Kluyveromyces lactis: one gene and its partner. The protein of the gene in region 1 interacts with the protein of each later gene in a biochemical or structural test. Links are inferred from orthologs where the notes say so. Each region holds a gene or a part of one and is shown on either strand. Other genes may lie near its edges.

Region 1 (4,380 bases):
TCACGATATATAACACCATTGTCATGGAAGTACTTTAAGGAAAGTAAAACTTCTGCAGCATAGAACTTCGCTCTTCTGACAGATAGTCTTCGATTTTGGACATGCCACATCAAGTCGCCACCTCCAATGAATTCCATTGCAAAATAAATACGATTTTCTGTTTGGAAGGAGCAGTATAGGTTTGTCAGGAACGGATGCTTAGTTTCCGTAGCAAGCAAAAACACTTTCTTTTCTGCCCTAGCACTTTCAATATCATGGTTCTTGATGATATTATCCTTTTTCAAAACTTTAATCGCACAAAGGTTACTAGTATTTTTGGATCTTGCTAGCAAGACCTTACCAAAGTTACCTTTTCCTAATACTTTTAGTAAAATGAAGTCATCTAGAGACACCTTTCTCCTTTTGGAGGATTTTTTCTTATGCTTTGTACTGCTGGTGTATGATTTTTGTGGTGAAGATGGTGAACTTTTTCCTGTTATGTTGGCAATATCAGCGGCATGCAACTCAGGAGTTTCTGTCGTAGAGAGACTGTATTCGAGGTCCTCATATTGGGCTGGCGGTGAATATTGATCATCTGTGACATCGGCGGTTTCTTCAATTATGTCGTAATCACCCTTTTTGGTGGCAAGCTCAACGTCCCCAGTACTGTATGTTTGTTGTTGCTGCTCTTGTTGTAACATGTTTTGTTCATTGTACCATCTCTCTTCTTCTTCCTTTCTCAATCTCTCTCTAAGCTCATAGTGAGATTGCTCTGAATCGTCTAATTCCTCTTCATATCCATAATCTTGTACGTATCCGCTGTCTTGCTTATTAGGGTGCTTATTTTCATAATTTCCTTCATATTCTTGCGCAAAATGCTCTTGCGCATGAGCCTGCGGAAGATTACTTATATGAGCAGCATCGAATTGAATCTTTTTCATTGAATCAGGAGACAAACCGGGGTCCAAGCTATGTTGGTAATTCCCGTGATCTGGCGAGCTGGTTTCCACATTGCTGGTGAATGAGTCATAATGGCTATCATGTTGCGTTATAAAGTTATTCAAACGATCCGTCACTAGGTCTTTTCTTGCTTCTGAAGGCGTAGTTGGCTTGATAACGGATGTATGCATATCATCATGATCAAAAGAGGTCTCAAACCTGTTATTTAGCCCATCAAAGCCTTTAGAAATTGGTTTGGGTTTATTATTCACTTTGATGCCACTGAATCCTCTCTGCTGCTGAGTACGCTTAGTATCCTGAATAGTTAGCAAAACTTTGTTGGCCATTTCCATCGACATACCACAGAAATCTGGAACTAAATGAGCACATTGAGCATGGCACATAACCCCACATTCAGTACATTTTCTGACGTTCTTTCTACCCCATGGTAAAATATACCCACAATGGCAACACCACTTCGTACCCCGATTTGAAACAGGTTCAAACCTATGAGGGATACGGTGGTTAAGTTTCGTCTCGTCAGGATCTGAGTCGGTACTTGTTTTAGCAATACATTTTGTAACCACATGCGCGTAGCACTTCTTATGGCATAAGAACTTGCAATCCTGGCATTGATAGCCACTATACCGTAAAAATTCACCGCAATATGCACAGCACATGACATTGTAGAACGATTTTTGGACAAAATGGTGCCCATGTTGCTCAAAGATATCCTCTTTACGGTTGACAATAGCACCATGACGATGTAATCCACCCATGAAGGTCTTTCTTTGTGTAGTGTTTGACTTATTGAAACCAAGTGTCAATAATATTTGCCCGGCAGGTTCCAAGATGAACCATGTATTTGTGGTTAAACTCTGCGTGTGGGTGTCGTTTGCTTCTCTATCCTCCGTGGGGATTCCAGCATCGGGTAATTGCGGTAAATCCTTTGTAATTACAGCTGTATTATTCGCAGGTTGAGAAGGTGGAAGTCTAGAGGCCTGCATCCATTCAGCGTGGCTTTTTCCTTGCTTTTGCTGTTGACCGACTTTTTTTTTCCGAATTTCTTCAGCGATGTCGGCAAGTAATAACCACATGACAGCTACTGGTACAATTCTGTCATTAACCTTATCATATATTGTAACTTCTACCTCGTTACCTTTGTCTATGACTATGTTAAAATCTTCGTGCCACCTATCATTTCTCGATGGTTTTGTCTTCGCTTTTACCACATCATCGACTTTGATAGTAATAAATGTCTCTGGCTTTCTCGAGAATAGAGGGGATTGGATATGATCAACATCTCTAATTGCAGTAACACCGATAGTCAGAGTACCTGATAGTTGTTTTCTCCTAAACTTTGGTTGAGTTGCTTCTTCTGTGTGATCATTGAAAGGATCGATATCAACGTTGATGGCCTGATATTTTTTCAATGATTTTGTTAAGAGCTGAATCCTGTGTTTAGATTCAACAGATCCACCTTGTGCAGCACTGCTACTCCGCTGGTCTCCATCAATTTGGTAGAGTTTAGTTAACTTATCATTAGCCTCTTGATATTGCTTTTCAACTTGCAATTTGAACTCCAACTGCTGGAGCATGTATTGAATTCTTTGCGACAAAGATGGACAATCGTACTTTACCAGATCTAGTCTAGAGTATCTAAACTCATCTGGTGATATTGTAGATAGCTGACCAAAACCGGGATGATTGCTAGCATTCTGGCTGGTAGGAGTATTGTCTGGCTGTTGACTGACTCTCAACTTAGCTAGAATTTGTTCCAAGTACTCTATATTTTGTTGAGCCTCTCTAATATTGGTGTTGCATTTCTGTATGACCATGACATTATCAGTCTTTTTCTTCAATTGATTCGAACCCAGTATAATGTTTCTTTCCCTTTCGATCTTTTTGTAGATGTCCTGTTCAACAGGGAATGCAGTGTGTTTACGATCTTCATCCATAGTTTCATACAATAGTAATATCTTTTTATGCTCAGTTCAGAGTGTTCATACGTTAGATGGCTAGTTGGTGCCTTATAAGTTCATGAAATAGAATCAACGCACCACTTTGACAGGATCTGATCTGAAACAATTTCAAGCTGTGTTCGCCCAGAATACCAATATTTTAAGATCCCAAACCACTGAGAAAAAAATGTTTGTAAGAGAAATATTCAACGAAAAAAAAAGTCCCAACTAAACTGACTTAATAAACCGTTGTTTATAGTCGTTCTTTCCTTTAGTTTTTGGTATCCTTAAAGATATTGTTGAGATCAAAAAAAACCATATATTTGTTTGTATCTGGATAGATCAAACTTTTTATTTTCTTAGTTTCGCCACATGATTTCCTGAAATAGAGCTCACGCATTTCAACTGATCGGGGAATCTTAACTAGTCACGTGAAGAGGCTTGCGCTCATGCGAATGACGGTGGGCAATGATGGAAAAGATGGCTTTAAGTTCCATCGCTGAACCACGGTCCATCCTATAACTCGATGAATATGCTCGGGGAAGTTTTCCAAGTATGGTACTGCGTTGCTAGTATCATTATTTTGTGGATGCGTAATGATTCATTCTGAAAGCAACGTTCAGCCGCTTGATATCTGCATATGAGATATTTGTATGTACTAATAGTGGGAGAAATGAGTTTTTGGCGAGGTTAAGGATTAAAGAGATTATATACGCTGAATAACAAGTTTAATGATTTATCCTAGAGCGTTTAGGTCCGAAATATTGGTAGAGTGTTTCATTGATGGCATAAACACGAACACCCAGGAACAGGACAAATTGAATGTCTTTCAAACCATTCCTCTGCATGACCGGCATGCATACCATGATTACACTTGAGACAGAAACTGAACCATTCGTTCATTTTCAAACGCTTTCTTTCCTTGACCTCGTTAATTTTCGCGTCGTCATCGATTCGTACTTCACATGAGTTGGTGGTGCCATTGATGACTATGGGGAGATTTGAAGTACCCAATGGCAAGAGACAAATAGCACATCTTGGGAAAGGCGTGCCACAATGTGGACATGAATGTTTCTGTTGGGGGACATCACCGTTTGTATTATTGAGGCCGAATTTCTTTCCTGCATTTAAGTTTTGATTAGCATGTCTTGGTAGGGATGCATTAGAAGACACATCAATGGGTCTGTTGATATTCTTCTTACATTTGGAACATTGTAAATACATTTGACGAGGTTTTAACTTCGCTGTAATTCGACCATCACTAGTCCTAGATAATTTTGTCTTGAGCACATCGAACTTGGCCCTCATAGTGAAAAATTCCCAGGAATTTAACATATGGCGATATGTTTCAACCCATTCATCAACTCTTGGGTCCATGAAGTATCTTGGGGAGCCGAAAACTGAAATTAGTGCAGCAGTTTGAATATCACTAGTCTTTCCAACGTACGATTGTAGAAGATCAATACCATTAGGCGTTATACCAGTCAAGATCAATCCTTCT
Region 2 (3,036 bases), about 1.1 Mb from region 1:
ATACAATACGCCTATATGCTATTAACGATCCATATCCTAACACAAACCGTAATTCGGTCAACGTATTAACCAAGTAGACACACCTTGTGAAGGTGTACAGCGCCAAGTTAAAGACTGGCGCCTTGTTAGAATCGCATCAAAGTGAGGGAAAGAAAGGAAGAACAGAATGCGGTCGCCGCAGAAGATCCAGTAGCGCGTGGTCGAAAGGAGTGAAGAAAAAAAAAAAAACTATCAAGCGTCACGTGGTACAGTGGAAAATTGGAGAGCAGTGTCGCAGCGCGTATGTATTCCGTATCCGGTCTGATCCGAGGTATGCCACTAGTGGCGTGTCTGGGTGTTCGGGTGCATTCGGAATAATTGGAGTAATTGGAGGAACATAGCCCTTTTCTTTTTCTTTTCTGGATGCCGGTTCAGGGATTACTTTCGGTTCCTAAATCGCTTGTCTACATATTCGCATCTCTACAAATTAGTACTATATTATGGACAGGGTAATAACACTGTTAGTTGGAGATCGATGCTCTACCTGATTTGAGTGCAAGTATACAGCGAGAGTCCGTCACGTGACGCATGGCCTTTAGTAGTGGCAATAGGTGTAGTAGTTCCGAGTCGCTTGGATCGTTGATCCAACCATGTACTTGTATTGCATTGTCCAGATGCATTGCGTAGCTGATAGGACTGTTATCAATGATAATCATTTGAGAGAGGTCACGTGACGTTTCGATTTGGGTTGCCACGGTACCGATGTCCTTCACGTAACCGACGCCAGGCCGAAGTGTGCAATCTTCTCTATACCATCTGTAGTGAAACTGTACCGAACACGTCTGTTGTAGCCAGTCGATTACTGGGTCTGCATACTCTTTCATGGATGCTGTGAAGATGGCAATGTCGTACCATTGGCTCGTCTGTTGGAGAAACATATCGCAATACGGTCTCTTGGCAACGTTATATAACGTGGATATGTTTGTCTGCGGGAATCGTACCTCTACCAGGTGTATCATTGGTGTGGTGCCACTAGGGTTCTTGTCTGTTGGGTTCCCTAACGATCTACTGTTACTCATGGAATGGATCAACGTTTCATCGAGATCGAGTACTAAAAGCTTTCGACTGGTAGAAAGTAGCATTGATTGGGGTACTAATTTCTTGGGGAAATGAAATTTCCCTAAATATTCTGTAATAGGTCTTGGTTTCATCTTATCCTGGTTTATTATGATCTCATCAGTCGGTGATAGATCCTCTTCTACCACGTATTTCGATAGTTTCTCGGTCCTACTGTCAGTTTCTGATCCTACCTGGATCAATCCTTTGTTCCCCTGCGTGTTGGTTTCCATTAAATTCAATGGGAATGTGATAACGTACCAGATCGTTATGATAGGTTTTATTAGCAAATAGTTTGGTAGGAATATTAATATGCACCATATCCATCTCATAAACGGTCTATTCCTTTTATTCGTAGCTGTTGACGTTGTTGTTGTTGATGTTGTTGTTGACGCCGTCGTCGTCTTGTTTTTTACTTTGTTCGGTTGGGTATTCGTGGGGGTCGGATCCACTAATATACCCTCCTTCTCTTTGATCGGCACTTCCTGCGGAGCAGGAAGTGCATTTGACAAAAAAGAGATCGCATTCATTGGAACACAGCTATGTTTTAAAGCCTCTCCTATTGATTGGTCAACGTCCCACTACCAAGGATTGTGACTATGTCTCACTGTTCAGTGTTCTTGACCTTATATTTGCGATTCACTGAATGTATATATTACTTCTTTTTTTTCCCTTCTATTTTCGGTTGGTTAGCTTCAAATATGTAGTGGCATGGAATATGTCAACAAAAACTGTTGAAAAGTTGGAGCTTAATACGCGCTGGTGAAGCATAATAGCAATAGAAAGAGCTTCTGTTTCAATAACCAGCTGTGATGGACTTAAGACATGTCCAATTACCATAGTAGAAACTTGAGACGTGTCGCAGGCGTACTCTGCCAAGAATTGAATAGCACTGGTGATTCGGATGTTGTGTGCGAGGTATTTAGTAATAGAGTACACTCTGGTGATCCAAACTATCTTGGTTCCACACTTCCGAAGTGCCTTGCCATTATAAAACAGAATTTGAGCACGTTCTACGAGCTGCATGGCTCATCGATATACAATTATACTGATGACGATAAAGGAAAGGGAAACGAGAAATGGATTAGGTTCAAATGGGATGAAATGCTGGATAAAGATTTAGTCTACATTGTTTTGTTCAAGAGAGATACCACTAAGATAGTAGGTTTTACATCAGTGGCATTATCCGACCCATTGAATCCAGAATTGGACCACTCCAAATTGAATCGGCCGTGTTTGTTCCTATACGAAATCCATCTGATGGGAGAATACCAGTCACGTGGCTTAGGGTCTCTTATTTTCAATGGATTACTTATCCCACTTGCACGTGACCTGACCTGTCCGTCAATTGAACTATGCGTATTCACTGCCAATGATGTGGCCTGTCGATGGTACAAAAGATTAGGGTTCCAACTTACCGTCGAGTTCTCTGAGCATCTCATTGGAATGAGCAGGGTTATCGGCGCCTCTTAATCTGAGGACCTTACAGCCTACACTGCAATGGTTTGCAGATGTTTTTCCATGCAGAGCACAGATATGTACATAACCACACGGAAAGAGGGTTTAACGCAATAAATAAAAGTACTCTATTCTTTTGAAATGGCTTACATTCCACGAGGATGTTCCTAACGGGCTATTGTATAAGAAATTTGTAGCATGTGCCCTAGAGAAACTGGAACCCTTAAAATGTATGCAGGGTCTTATCTTTTTTTTTTTTTCTATTTTTTTTTTTTTTTTGTGTTCCCTTTCTCTTCTATTGTGCATGAACGATTTAAGCTTTTGAAGGTACATTCTTCTGATGTAACTGTCTAATTACATCAATGGGAAGTTATCATAGCTTCGGTTGTTAAAAAGACGTTCAACAGTGGTGCTTTATCAACCTTAATGGTTTATTTACAGCTCCCAGTGGTGGTCAGCACATAGGGTGCACTGTCACACTTT

What was found.
Region 2: of the proteins of PKC1 (region 1) and NEM1, one has a biochemical effect on the other in vitro, tested with the Saccharomyces cerevisiae proteins (2 studies listed by BioGRID). The link is inferred for Kluyveromyces lactis from reciprocal best matches to the Saccharomyces cerevisiae genes PKC1 and NEM1.

The regions. Positions count from the first base shown.
Region 1 is NC_006041.1:578,279-582,658, forward strand, and holds the start of PKC1 (protein kinase C), read right to left. Parts: upstream 2,877-4,380; coding exon 1-2,876. Other genes in the region: SEA4 (Sea4p), read right to left, coding at 3,657-4,380. UniProt on the Saccharomyces cerevisiae protein: Required for cell growth and for the G2->M transition of the cell division cycle. Mediates a protein kinase cascade; it activates BCK1 which itself activates MKK1/MKK2.
Region 2 is NC_006041.1:1,651,481-1,654,516, reverse strand, and holds NEM1 (Nem1-Spo7 phosphatase catalytic subunit NEM1), read right to left. Parts: upstream 1,626-3,036; coding exon 501-1,625; downstream 1-500. Other genes in the region: NAT4 (N-terminal L-serine N(alpha)-acetyltransferase NatD), read left to right, coding at 1,921-2,568. UniProt on the Saccharomyces cerevisiae protein: Catalytic component of the NEM1-SPO7 complex which acts as a phosphatase and dephosphorylates the phosphatidic acid phosphohydrolase PAH1. Essential for the formation of a spherical nucleus and meiotic division.